2 linked regions of the Macaca mulatta genome follow. The main gene of each other region encodes a partner of the protein of the gene in region 2 in a complex. Links are inferred from orthologs where the notes say so. Each region holds a gene or a part of one and is shown on either strand. Other genes may lie near its edges.

What was found.
Region 1: the proteins of MMP10 (region 2) and TIMP2 are in contact, whole or in part, in a crystal structure (PDB 4ILW), measured with the Homo sapiens proteins. The link is inferred for Macaca mulatta from reciprocal best matches to the Homo sapiens genes MMP10 and TIMP2. Residues at the interface, in NP_002416.1 of Homo sapiens: Glu155, Asp169, Phe170, Tyr171, Ser172, Pro176, Gly177, His178, Ser179, Leu180, Ala181, His182, Ala183, Tyr184, Pro185, Pro188, Gly189, Leu190, Tyr191, Val214, His217, Glu218, His221, His227, Pro237, Leu238, Tyr239, Phe242; in NP_003246.1 of Homo sapiens: Cys27, Ser28, Cys29, Ser30, Pro31, Val32, Gln36, Ala37, Asn40, Ser57, Gly58, Asn59, Asp60, Tyr62, Asn64, Pro65, Ile66, Lys67, Arg68, Thr91, Ala92, Pro93, Ser94, Ser95, Ala96, Val97, Cys98, His123, Leu126, Cys127.

What each region holds. Positions count from the first base shown.
Region 1 is NC_133421.1:88,535,464-88,542,433, forward strand, and holds the end of TIMP2 (metalloproteinase inhibitor 2), read right to left. Parts: intron 5,772-6,970; coding exon 5,647-5,771; intron 3,927-5,646; coding exon 3,729-3,926; 3' UTR 1,048-3,728; downstream 1-1,047. UniProt on the Homo sapiens protein: Complexes with metalloproteinases (such as collagenases) and irreversibly inactivates them by binding to their catalytic zinc cofactor. Known to act on MMP-1, MMP-2, MMP-3, MMP-7, MMP-8, MMP-9, MMP-10, MMP-13, MMP-14, MMP-15, MMP-16 and MMP-19.
Region 2 is NC_133419.1:103,645,160-103,652,129, reverse strand, and holds part of MMP10 (stromelysin-2), read left to right. Parts: intron 1-305; 5' UTR 306-395; coding exon 396-547; intron 548-689; coding exon 690-838; intron 839-1,303; coding exon 1,304-1,429; intron 1,430-3,267; coding exon 3,268-3,432; intron 3,433-3,617; coding exon 3,618-3,762; intron 3,763-4,716; coding exon 4,717-4,850; intron 4,851-6,970. UniProt on the Homo sapiens protein: Can degrade fibronectin, gelatins of type I, III, IV, and V; weakly collagens III, IV, and V. Activates procollagenase.

The DNA of each region.
Region 1 (6,970 bases), on a different chromosome or scaffold from region 2:
GGCTCAAGCAATCCGCCCAGCTTGGCCTCCCAAAGTGCTGGGACTACAGGTGTGAGCCACTGTACCCGGCCTGAAAAAAGGTTTTAAAAGTAGTTTTTAATTTTTGGCCAGACGCGGTGGCTCACGCCTGTAATCCCAGCACTTTGGGAGGCCGAGGCGGGCGGATCATGAGGTCAGGAGTTCGTGACCAGCCTGACCAACATGGTGAAACCCCGTCTCTACTAAAAATACAAAAATTAGTTGGGTGTTGTGGCGGGTGCCTGTAATCCCAGCTACTCAGGAGGTTGAGGCAGGAGAATCACTTGAACCCAGGAGGCGGAGGTTGCAGTGAGCCAAGATTGTGCCATTGCACTCCAGCCTGGGTAACAGAGCAAGACTATCTCAAAAAAAAAAAAAAAGTAGTTTTTATTTTTTAAACATGCGTACTGGAATATTGATAAATGAGACTGTTTGATGCCTGGAATTTTTTTTTCCAAATAATTTCGGGCAGGGTGGGTGAAGACTGAGGGTAGGTCTAAAGCTGGCCATGAAGCCCTCAGTGTTGAAGCTGTGAGACAGGTGCATGGCTCTGCGTTTCTCTATAATAAAACGTGCTGAATGAGGGGGACCCTGTCCTACGCTTCTGCCTCTTCATCCACCTAAGAAAACCACATTTGCTTTTACCTGTCCCATCTCTGCCACCACAGCTCAAGTGATCCTCCCATCGCACCCTTTGGGTAGCTGGGACCACAGACAGATGCCACCACACCTATTTTTTGTAGAGCCGGGGTTTTGCTAAGTTGGCCAGGCTAGTCTCGAACTCCTGGACACAAACGATCCACCCGCCTCAGTCTCCCAAAGTGCTGGGATGACAGGCGTGAGCCACTGCACCTAGTCTGCATCCCACATTTGACTCAGAGCTCACTGGCCTTGTTTCTCTGGAGGACACAGGGCGCCCCCTCCCGCTGGACAGGAAAGGCTCCTTGCAGGGGCTGATTCCCATTCTTGAGCTAGAAAGTGGCCATTCTGAATGTAGGATACAGCCACACAGAGAGAGCCCACGTTCTCTTTGATAATACTGTTTATTGTCCACGGACCGAGCGATTGCTCAAGAATGATACAAAGCATCAGAGACATGCGCAGTCTGCTTGTCAACTTCCAACAACTCTTGTGTGTTCCCAGCACCGGAAGGTCTCAGACTTCATATTCCAGCAGAAACACAGTGCTCCCCTCCCCCAAAACTCCAAACGAAAACAAAATCAACAGAGCTTTAAATTACGGCAGCAAGTCCAATATTTCTTAATACTTATCAAGCAAAGATTTGAAAATAACTACAATGTAAACTTTATTTTAAATATTTTGAGTTGCTTGCAGGATGAAAATAGGAGAAAAGAGCTGTGCTTAGAACATAACATATAAATTAAACGATGCCAAATGGAGAGCCTTCTTAAACTATATATATATTGCCATTATTTACTGTGAAGGTATTTGAGCGGCTTCCTCTCTCAGCTGCCACCAGGCTCTTCTTAACCTGTTTTGTTTTCTACTCAGCATGGTTAAAAGACCAACGTGTGTGGATCGACTATAAAGGCCACACCTTTCAGACCGAACCTACTCAAAGATCCTTTACTTTGTAATAATTTGAACCGGAGAACCAAAGACGGGAGACGAATGAAAGCAAAGATGCTCAAAGAACCCAAGGAAAGACCTGAAGGAATCCACCTGCATAGGCCACGCGTTCCGCTCCGGGTCAAATGCTTCCACGATGCAGAAACCTCTTTTAAAAAAAGTGCAAGTCTAACACCTACCAAGGGTAATAAAAAACACAGCACAGGAATGATTACAGTTGATGTCAAAAACAAACCAAAACATTAAAAAAACAATCGGCAGAAACAGGAGTAAATGTTACATATGATATCACCGTACAGGAAGCAAACGGGGGTGGGGTGTTACATGGGTTGGAGGGGTCTGGTGGAGTTGTATATACTGAAATCACATGGACTGGTCCATTATGACATCTTACCAACTTTAGATCACTGTACAGCATGAAAACGCCCGTGGGGCAGGGGCCGATTCCTGGATACCCTCCCAGTCTGCCCTAGAAAGGGAAGTCATCAAGATCTGTGCTGACCAGGTCCCGATGGGCATGGGGCCTGCATGCCACTTGGGGGTCAGGAGTCTTAACAGGTGCTTTGGGGTTGCCACTGAATAGAACAGGCTAAGGTGGCTTTGGAAGCATTTTGCAGGACCACTCCCAGGCCGAAAAGCTTCAGTTTCATTGCGTGTGTATGTTTACATAATGTGCCTATATATCGTCAGTTTATCTTCACAACACAGGTGGGAGCAAAAGAGATTCTCCTTATCGTTACCGAGAAAGTTCTTCCTATTCTGATCCCCATATCACGGGCTTCAGGAAACCATGTTTAGGGAACACATAGGTTCCCTAGTTCCCTAAGAAGTTTCTTAGCTAGGTCATCTTTGTCATTTGAGAAATACAAGCAGAAGTTGGTATATCTGCAACTCAGGTTCACCTGTCATCTGAGAATTCATCATCTGAGAATTCATCGTTAGAAAAAGGAGGTGTCTCTTAAAACAGGCCCAAGTATCCTGGAGGCTCAGAAAGAAGTGAGAGTGTCACCAAAGCCACCTACCTCCAAAATCCTTCCCTTCCTAGGCTGGACTTCTTACTACACTTAGCTGGCGTCATGTGCAGAAAGCCCCGTGCAGAACGATGGCTGTCAGTCTTTGAGGGAGAGAACACTAAGCCCAGGAGGGCACAGCAAGACCCAGCTTTTTCTGTCCTCAGGATGTGCAGATGGGGAGCACAGCCAGGCCCTGCACACAAGCCCAGATAAAGCAAAGCCGTGCCACTCAATCCAGGTGCCTGGTGCCAGAATGGGCAAGAAGCAATGGCAACCACAGCAGCTCAGGAAGGGACCTTGAGGGCAGCCACCGGCCCCGGACAGCAGCCTCAGGACAGGACCTCACCAATTCCCCCTGCAGGCTGGGGAAGCATGTGGACGGGGGGTGCAGGAGACCAAAAAGACTCAGCTGAGGCTGGGGTTCCTCGCTCCCATTTCTACAAGGCTCAGAGGGAGGCTCCCACTGGAATTCTGAGGATTAATAGGATTGATGGGGCTCCTTCAAGAATAAGCCGCTGGTTCCAGGCTGTCCCTGGATGTGGGGGGAGCCACAAGTGCTGGGAGGTCATGGTGGGCACCGGGGTGATGGGGGTACTTGCCAGGGGCAGGGAGTGTTACACTAGGGCCAGAGGCGTGGAAGCTGCAGAAAACAAGGGCCATGCCCCTCTCAAGATGAAAGGGACCTGGTAGGCCTGCTACACAGTCTTGCAATGACCCTCAAAAGTTTCTGCAAAATGCACATTTCCAGGCCCCGCCCTAACCCGGCTGGGAGATCCCTAAGTGCTGCCTGCTCGGCATCTGTGACGGTGCCAAGGCAGGGACTGGGAGGCAAGCTACATGTCCCAGCCCTGCCTGCACCCAAGGATCGAAGCCCCAGACACACAGTGCCTGGCAGAGGGAGGATGGGATGAGGACCCTGGACCCATGTCTCCCTCCAGACCCACAACCGTGTCTAAAAGGAGAAGCGGGGAGCAGAACTGTACTAATTTGGACCCACGGGATGAGTGTTTTATTCATGCTGTTTCCAGGAAGGGATGTCAGAGCTGGACCAGTCGAAACCCTTGGAGGCTATTTTTGCAGTTGGCCACAGGGGTGTTGTAGGCCTGCTTATGGGTCCTCGATGTCAAGAAACTCCTGCTTGGGGGGCGCCGCGCCGCGGTACCACGCACAGGAGCCGTCGCTTCTCTTGATGCAGGCGAAGAACTTGGCCTGGTGCCCGTTGATGTTCTTCTCTGTGACCCAGTCCATCCAGAGGCACTCGTCCGGGGAGGAGATGTAGCACGGGATCATGGGGCAGCGTGTGATCTGGGGAGGGGCACACAGAGGGGGATGGAGTCAGGAACCCAGGAAGGGGTGGGCAGAGGCTGCTCTGGGGGCATGTCCAGAACCCGGCAATGTGCCTACCTGCGGTGTGCAGGGATGGCAGCCTCTCCCGAGACCCACAGCTCCTGCAGGGGCAGGCGGCTGGCCTGCGAGGGGGTCTTACCTGCAGGGAAGCTGTGCCCCGCCCACCGGGGCCCCCCTCCTGCTGCAGGTGTGCTTCCCTTTGGGCCATCTTCTACCTTCCTGAGCATGAGAGAATGGCCTGGCTTGGCCCTGCCCTCTGGGGGACATAGCAACAATAAAAGGGCCTGGGTTTCCTGGAGACAGATTCCAGCCCAGTGAAAAGGCCGGGAATTGGGAACTGCTCAAGGCCGAGCCCTGAGGTCATAGGCAACTAGCAATTTGGCAAAGGAACCCGAGGCTACAAGAGGATGACTGCCTTCACTGCCCCATGGAAAGAAAAAGGAAGAACTTGCTTTTGATTTCATGCTGGGCACAGAGGAGTTTTGCTTAACATATGTGTGGCTGGAGACTATGAGTTCAGAATTCCTGTTTTGAACATGCTGAGAAGGGGCTGGTGGCCGTCAGGAGGGAGGGCAGCCCCAGGCAGCTCCCCAAGGAAGGCCAATCCCCACGGCCTCACCAGAGTCTACTGGTCCCAGACTCGCTGGGAGTGACCCAGGGTGGCAGGTGCCCAGCACTCAGCAATGCTTCCGGCAGGAAGGGTGGGGATAGGGTGCTAGGAGCCCACAGGGTAGGAGCCAGCCCGGGAGCCCTGGAGGTGGTGATCTCGCCTTCCACAGTCACATCCAAGCGTCGGGCTGCTACGACTGTGCCTGGCACAACCTCCGGGCTCATTTGAAGAGAAGCAGGTGTTCTCAACACACAGACCCCACGTAGACACCGACCCAGGTGTGAAAATGTCGGGAATGTTGGAAAAAGCATGAGGCCTGCAGTGCCCTCTCACAAGGCACACAAGGGTTTGCATATCCGCATTTGTAGGAAATGATCCATGGGACCATATTCTCCCCATACAGCTCCTTTTTCTGGAAGGGGCAAGTAACAGAGCTGAATTTATGCCTTACTCTCAAATCTCCTAGCCTTCCAGACATCCCCCTCCATTTTTTTTTTTTTTTTGAGACAGAGTCTCACTCTGTCAACCCAGGCTGGGGTACAGTGGCGCGATCTTGGCTCACTGCAACCTCCACCTCCCACGTTCAAGCCATTCTCGAGCCTCAGCCTCCCAAGTTGCTGGGATCACAGGCATGCGTCACCGCACCCGGCTAATTTTTGTATTTTTATAGAGACAGGTTTCACCATGTTGGCCAGGCTGATCTCCAACTTCTGACCCCAAGTAACCTGCCCATCTTGGCCTCCCAAAATGCTGGGATTACAGGCATAAGCCATGGCGCCCGGCCTCCAGACATCCCTTGACAGAGATGTGTCTCAGGGCTCTCCAGGGACCAGGGGCCAAAGGCTTTGTCGCCAGCCAGACAGCCTCACTCCTGGGATGACTCTGCCTTCCCAGAGCCTGGTCTTAAATCAGAACCCCGGGATTAAGAGGCTCTGGAAAGCCAGGGACCAAAACTCCCCATACAGCTCCTTTTTCTGGAAGGGGCAAGTAACAGAGCTGAATTCATGTGCTGTCCATCTGGAGATAGTGGGAGGAGGCGACGCCTCAGCAGAGACGGGACCTGCTTACCTTACACTCGCAGCCCATCTGGTACCTGTGGTTCAGGCTCTTCTTCTGGGTGGTGCTCAGGGTGTCCCAGGGCACGATGAAGTCACAGAGGGTGATGTGCATCTTGCCATCCCCCTCGGCCTTTCCTGCGGAGAGACGGGATCACCAAGCTCAGAGCGAGGGACAAGTCCTCCTGCCCAGCTCCTCCACCCGGCGCAGGGGTGCTGGGATTTTGCTGTAACAACACTGCACACTGTCTAGTCTGAGTTCAAACATAATGGGTGGCCAGGTACGGTGGCTCACTCCTGTAATCCCAGCACTTTGGGAGGCTGAGGTGGGTGGATCCCTTGAGGTCAGGAGTTCAAGACCAGCCTGGCCAACATGATACTCCCTCTCTACTAAAATACAAAAAATTAGCCGGGTGTGGTAGCACATGCCTGTAATCACAGCTACTTGGGAGGCTGAGGCAGGAGAATCGCTCTTGAACCCCAGAGGCGGAAGTTGCAGTGAGCCAAGATCGCGCCACTGAACTCCAGCCTGGGTGACTCCATCTCAAAAAAATAAAAAGTGGAAAAAAAAAAAAAAAAGCCATAATGCATGTTCACTGACAGAAACTTAAACGTAGGAAACAATCAAGAAAAAACTTCCCCACTTTCATTACCCATAGCAAACATTTTGATGTATTTCCTTCCAATATTCCAGTATTGATTTTGAGACAGTCTTGCTCTGTCACTCAGGCCAGAGTGCAATGGTATGATCATAGCTCACTGCAGCCTTGACCTCCCAAGCTCAAGTGATCCTCCTGTCTCAGTCTCCCGAATAGCTAGGTGTGAACCACCACACACCCTGCTAATTTTTTCTATATATTTTTTTGTAGAGACAGGGTCTTGCTATGTTACTCAGGCTGGCCTTAAACTTCTGGGCTCAAGTGACACCCTCACCTTGGCCTCCCAAAGTGTTGGGATTACAGGATTACAGGCATGAGCCACCATGCCTGGCCCCAATATTCTTTTAAATTAAATTTTATTCTTAAAAAAAGGATAGAGACGATGTTTCACTATGTTGCCCAGGCTGGTCTTGAACTCCAGAGCTCAAGTGATCCTCCCGCTTTGACTTCCCAAAGTGCTGGGATTACAGGTGTGAGCCACTGCGCCCGGCCAATATTCTCTTACATATGCATCTTCACACACAAAACATCATGCAGTATGTAGATTGTATTGTTTCCCGTTTTGTTTTTCACAAAATATTAATTCACAGGTGTTTCTCCCATTTGAGTTTAAACTTATAATTCTGCATTTTTCCATTACGAAGAGCCAAAGAATGGAATTTTTGAAAATTAGGAATC
Region 2 (6,970 bases):
GAAAAGGTTAGTATTCTAACTTTTCACAAAACTATGTTAAAAGAGGGTTTCTTTAAAAACAAACAAAAGTAATGCTAGACCTGAATTTCCAATCCCAAATTCCTTACTTGACTAGCAAACTAACACTGCAATAAAATTTAAAAATTTGTATGAAATGGGGAGTCTTAATGAAAAAAATCAAATTAAATGTGTGATCGACTTTTGTTTTAAGAAACTAGAGGAAAATTAAGATGCATTATAAAAGTTGGGTAAGTGATGGAAAATCGTAAAAAATGACTTAAAAATTATACTCATTATTCCATTAGCAATACCTAGAAAACTACTACAACCTCAAAACAGATGTGAAACAGTTTAGAAGAAAGGAGAGTAATCTCATTGTTAAAAAAATCCAACAAATGCAGAAGTTCCTTGGGTTGGCAGCAACAGGGAAGCTGGACTCTGACACTCTGGAGGTGATGCGCAAGCCCAGGTGTGGAGTTCCTGACGTTGGTCACTTCCACACCTTTCCTGGCATCCCGAAGTGGAGGAAAACCCACCTTACATACAGGTAATGGTTCCGAGTAGTTTTCACATAATATTGAAACTTTATAAGTTACTTGTCATATTTGGATAAGTAACACAAAGTTTTCTTTAACAATTTTTCATAATGGCGGGAGAAAATAGTATCCTCTTCAATTTTTCTCCTCCAGGATTGTGAATTATACATCAGATTTGCCAGGAGATGCTGTTGATTCTGCCATTGAGAAAGCTGTGAAAGTCTGGGAAGAGGTGACTCCACTCACTTTCTCCAGGCTGTATGAAGGAGAGGCTGATATAATGATCTCTTTTGCTGTTAAAGGTAATCAAATAAAGCATCCATTTATCTGGTGTATTAATCTGTTTAGACTGCTAGAGCCAGATACCTTGGACTGTGTAATTTATAAACAACAGAAACTTATTGCTCACAATCCTGGAGGCTGGGAAGTCCAAGATTAAGGTGTCAGCAGATTTGGTGTCTGATGAGAATCTGTTCTTCATAGATGGTACCTTCTGTGTCCTCACACAATAGAAAGGGCCAGGAGGTTCCCTCAAGCCTCTTTCGTAAGAGCACTAATCTCATTCATGAGGGCAGAGCACCTATGACCTAATCACTTCCTAAAGACCTAACCTCTTAATACTATATCACAGTGAATATGGAGTTTCAACATATGAATTTGCAGTAGACACCAGCATTCAGACTATAGCATCTACTGTTGTTTTATTGGAACAGGGTAAAAATAAATTCTGAACCCTTATATTTCCATTAATTTTGTTTCCCTATCAGAACATGGAGACTTTTACTCTTTTGATGGCTCAGGACACAGCTTGGCTCATGCCTATCCACCTGGACCTGGGCTTTATGGAGATATCCACTTTGATGATGATGAACACTGGACAGAAGATGCATCAGGTGGGTTGTAAACCTCTCAGGAACATTTCAGGAATAATGTCTGATCCTACCCAAAATAATTGGATTATCTAGAATGAGAAATAAATGGAATATACTAGTAACTGAATTTTTTTATTGCCTGAGCTTTAAACAGAAGTACTGTTTGTTTCAATCATTATTGAAGAATTTTATAAAATGTCTGTATTTTCATGTTTGCCCCCACCAAGTACAATATTGTAAAAGCCATTCAGACTTATCTCCACAACTCAGGATCTTGTAGGGGTTTGAGGATCAGCATAATTAATGTTTTTCATCACTTTAATGGCAAATGATTAGGGTAGAATGAATTCCATTAAATCAGTTTCAATCCTAAAATTTGCCCTTAAGTTTTCTTTCTTTCTTCTCATTGGCCTCCTTTTTACTTAAAAGTAGAGATCAGGAGAAAATGCCAGGAACTGAAAAAAACACTGTTAGATCATCTTTTTAAATAAACATGTCACTATCTCTAGCTTAGATGGGGTTTTTTCCCCCCTGAATGGGCTTTGAAACACTTTACATCTAAACATAATGACAAAAATTAACTGTATGCTATTTAATTTTTAAAATGGCTTCTAAAGTTTAGAAACACACTGTTGAAACAATCACTATTTCTGAGAGTGCCTGGGATTTTTAATGTAAATGCAAAGAACATCTTTCCTGAGTACAAGACTCAGGAGGCTGAGGCACGAGAATCGCTTGAACCCAGGAGATGGAGGCTGCAGTGAACCGAGATTGCACCACTGTCCTCCAACCTGGGCAACTCTGTCTCACAAGACTGAAATCTGTGTTGCATGAAATGATTGCCTTTTATTTGAACAATTGTTCTTTTCTGCACAATTCTTGGAGCCTTGGTCAAATATCTACTACTAAATTCGATAAAACTCTTTTTATAATATTTTTTTAAAAGCTGAATCTAGCTGTGCTTGTGCTGCAGAAAACTGTTATTGGGCATGTTTCTGTTTTAAACTAAAGATTGTACACATCCAATGGCACTTATTACTGGGAAGATTTTTGACAATCAAAAATTATTTTATTATGGCTGAGCACCGGTGGCTAATGCCTGTAATCCCAGCATTTTGGGAGGCCAAGGTGAGTGAATCACTTGAGGCCAGGAGTTCGAGACTAGCCTAGCCAACATGGTGAAACCCTATCTCTAAAATATAAAAATTAGCTGGGCATAGTGGTACGTGCCTGTAATCTCAGCTACTCAGGAGGCTGAGGCATGAGAATCGCTTGAACCCGTACTCCAGCCTGGGCAACAGAGTGAGATTCTGTCTCAAAAAAAACAGTTACTTGAGTATGATGAAGAGGAGGAAGAGCAAATCAGACTAAACTCCACAAGAAATAACTACAGTCTTGTGGCCTAAAAGTTTGGGGAGCAACATAAATGTTATATGATTAATTTTAACCGAGGTTGCAACTGGCACATGTTCCTAAATTTGAACAATGACTTTTTACTTTTAGACAACGAAGAGTTATATTTATTGACATGGATATTAGTCTTGTCCTTTCAAAAAAAAAATCTTTGGAAATAATGCTTCTCATTTGTCAATATAGGAAAAGTGTCTTAGTTTTCCCGACCAAGGAGGGATCTAGGGAGCGATACGGTGAAAAACTGTCTTATATATTGACTTAAAGTCAACCTTGAAAAACACATTAATTTCTATAAAGTATGGAATATGCCAATCAATGAACCAATCCACAAATACTGAAAAGACCATGTGGTTTCAAGGATGGCCTGCACAGCTGGCATATGTTCTGTATGTGTATTTACGGAATAAATAGCTGGTGGATTCTGAACATTTATGGTTGTCATACAGGCACCAATTTATTCCTCGTTGCTGCTCATGAACTTGGCCACTCCCTGGGGCTCTTTCACTCAGCCAACACTGAAGCTTTGATGTACCCACTCTACAACTCATTCACAGAGCTGACCCGGTTCCGCCTTTCACAAGATGATGTGAATGGCATTCAGTCTCTCTATGGTGAGTGACGCTGGAAAAATTAGGCATTGTAGCTTTGCAATGACAGTCCTCAAGAAAGCTTTCCAATGCTACCTAAAGTATTTCTGATTTAGCTTGAAGCACTTTGAGAATGTTTGAAAGGCATACAAATTGACAGATGCATCACATTTTTTAAATGTTTGCATCCCCAAATCTGTCTCCTTTAGGACCTCCCCCTGCCTCTACTGAGGAACCCCTGGTGCCCACGAAATCCGTCCCTTCAGGATCTAGGACGCCAGCCAAGTGCGACCCTGCTTTGTCCTTCGATGCCATCAGCACTCTGAGGGGAGAATATCTGTTCTTTAAAGACAGGTCAGACCAGAAAATTATATTTTTCTGTCTATTCTTTTGATGTACAGTGCTTAGAAAGGAAAACAGAAATTTGATAGAGGTTTTTTTAAAAAAACTTTTATTTTAGGTTCAGGGCTACATGTGCAGGTTTGTTATATAGGTAAATTCGTGTCATGGGGGTTTGTTGTACAGATAATTTTGTCATCCCAGTGCTAAACCTAGTACCCGGTAGTTACTTTTTCTGCTTGACAGAGATTTTTGTAAATACAAAATTTTCTCTATATTTTAAAATCATTCAGATCTAGTTCTTGTTGAATTTTTAACATCCTGTTAGAATTGTCCAGGTCATTTTTTACACTTACAAGGGATGATTCTAGACTGTAAGCTTGATTAAGGCAGGGAGTTATATCTGTTTTGTTCATTTTTTAAAATATAAATCATGGAACTTCTTCAGAAAGCACTGGTGAATCCTTAGAAACAGGGTGATATCTTTCCCTTTGCTAAAAATTGCTACTACTTAAATTAATTACTTTTGGAAAAAAGTGATATATGCTTATGGCACAATATTTAGACACTGCCAAAAGATACAGAGTTAAACAATCTCTCTCTAGTCTTTGGTCTACAGTCCCCCAGCTCCCTTCACATGTGTAACCACTGCTACCAATTTCCTTTAACTCTTTACAGAAATGTTCTATTCATATACAAGCATCAATACGCACATAATATTTTTTAAAATATTAGGACATAATATACACACTGTTTATGGACTTTCAGAGTGGAAGCAAGCTAAATAATTTTATTGGAACCAGTCACAAGTCCTGCCATCAATTTTATTACCCTGGAATCACATGCAGGAGGATGGTTTAATATAGACTTCTATGAATGCGTGAATTAGCATGGATTTTTTTTAAAAGAATACTTTTTTTCACATAGCTAAAGGAGAAAGACAATTGCAAGTAATTTTATGTATTACAGATATTTTTGGCGAAGATCCCACTGGAACTCTGAACCTGAATTTCATTTGATTTCTACATTTTGGCCCTCTCTCCCGTCATATTTGGATGCTGCATATGAAGTTAATAGCAGGGATACTGTTTTTATTTTTAAAGGTGAGTACTATATAAGAATTTTCAACTTGCTGGAATAAATCCTAGTGTGAAAATTTTATCGACATGAGTTTTCTCCATTATATTAAAGTTTAGATTACTGCAAGACCTTGTGCTAACACTTAAATAAAATTTGTACAAAGAACATTATAAACTTTATTTTAGAGACCTCTTAAGTGAATAGGTGGTATTCCATATTCATGGATAAAAAATGCAATATAGTAAAAATGTCAATTTATCTATAGATACAAGACATTTTCATTTCAAATGCCAAAAGATTTTTCATGGAACTTGACAAATTAGTTTTACAATTTATACGGCAGCAAAGAGAATAGCCAGGAGGCTCCTGGTGAACCCATCTTATTAGATAAGGAGAAAAGCCCTGTGTTATAAAACTTTAATCAGTAAGATGTAGTATCAGTTCAGGGAGAGATAAATTAACTAATGGAGCTATTCAGGTATGGCGGCTTCTTTATCAGATTTTTAAACTACGGTTTCAATTTGTTTTATTGGTAATATGCTATTTGAGTTTCTATTACTTCTTGAGTCAGTTTTGTTAACATGTTTTTCTAAAAGTTTGCCAATTTTGTCTGTTTTCAAATCCATCAGTAAAAAGTTTTTGGAAAATTATTTTGTTGTAATTTGAATTATTGCTGAAGTTTTGTTCTCTTTTTCATTCCCAATACTGAACCCTTTTGCCTTTCTCTTTTTCTCTTTATTAATCTCATAATGTATGTAATAATGTTATTGATCTTTTCAAAGGACTGACTTTTGGCTTTATTTATCCTCTATATTATATTTTGATTTCCCATTTAACTAATTTCTGTTCATATCCTTATTGTTGCCTTAAGTTTTGTTTACTTTTAATTGATCCTGTTATTATTGTTATAGCTTAAGTTTGATACTTACCTTATTAACTTGTAACTTTTTTCTTTTCTAATATAAGCATTTATACCTATAAATAACCATTTCTTCTTTTTTATTCAGCAAATTTTGATATGCAGTATTTTCATTTTGTTCAATTTTAATTCTTTAATTTCTCATCTTTATTTTTCCCCTAGACTTATAGGTGATATTGGAATATTTTTAAATGTCAAGCTTTATGAAGATTTTAAAAATGTTTATTTCTGGCAATCTCACTTTTGTGAAGATTAAATGAATGTGAAATTGCAATAGAAATTGTAAAGAATTATAACTCTAACATATTATTATCCAGTAATGTATCTCACATTTACATATCACTTGCACTGTGTCAGACACTATGCTCATTAGTGGAGGTCAGGACTGAAAAGGGCTCATATTCTAGAAGGAGCAGCAGAGATGAAGCCATAGGCAGCCTACGTATGGCAAGTGCTGGTACTGAGAGAAGGAAGGGTGCCATGGGAGCATCTGACTCATATCCAGGGCTCAGCAAAGATCCCTTAGAGGAAGTGATGTTAGGATGGGTCTTGAAGTTCTCTTTTGCTGTGCAGAGATCGGCTGGGTGTACAGGAAGTAGAAAGATCTCTAAGAAAGAAGAAATTGTTTTTGCCAAGTAAGAGCATATCTGGAACTGCTCAGACACATAAAAGTCATTCAGTTCAGATGAAGCAAGAGAGATAAACAACAGATGGGCATTTTAGATTAGTGAATCTGGCAGTAGTGTGAAGAAGGAATTCAGGCTTGGGGTCCTGGAGAGTGATGTAACAAAGTAAAGGCAGAGAGATGGATGGGATTTTGTTGTCCTAACTCACTAGAATTTGAATGAATTCCAATAGTGTTCAGAAGAAGCACAGATTTGAATTGGTGACTGTGAAATACCTCAAAGGAAGTGTACAATAAGCAATGATCTATTGGTATGAAACTTAAGAGAAAGAGGTCTAGGTGAGAAATTCAGGTTAAAAAGTCACCAGCAATTATAAGAAATAACTAAAACTGATCTATAAATAAACTATAACTTATAGATACAAATATATAAGCCACAGAAAGGACAATGAATCAGAGTTATCTACTCATTTATTCATTCTTTCACTCATTCATTCAGGGAGTATTTATTAAAGACTGGCTGTGAACTGGGCATTATTAGGTTGGAATTAAAACCAAGACTTCCTCTTTACCACAACAATGCACTATAATCATTTTTA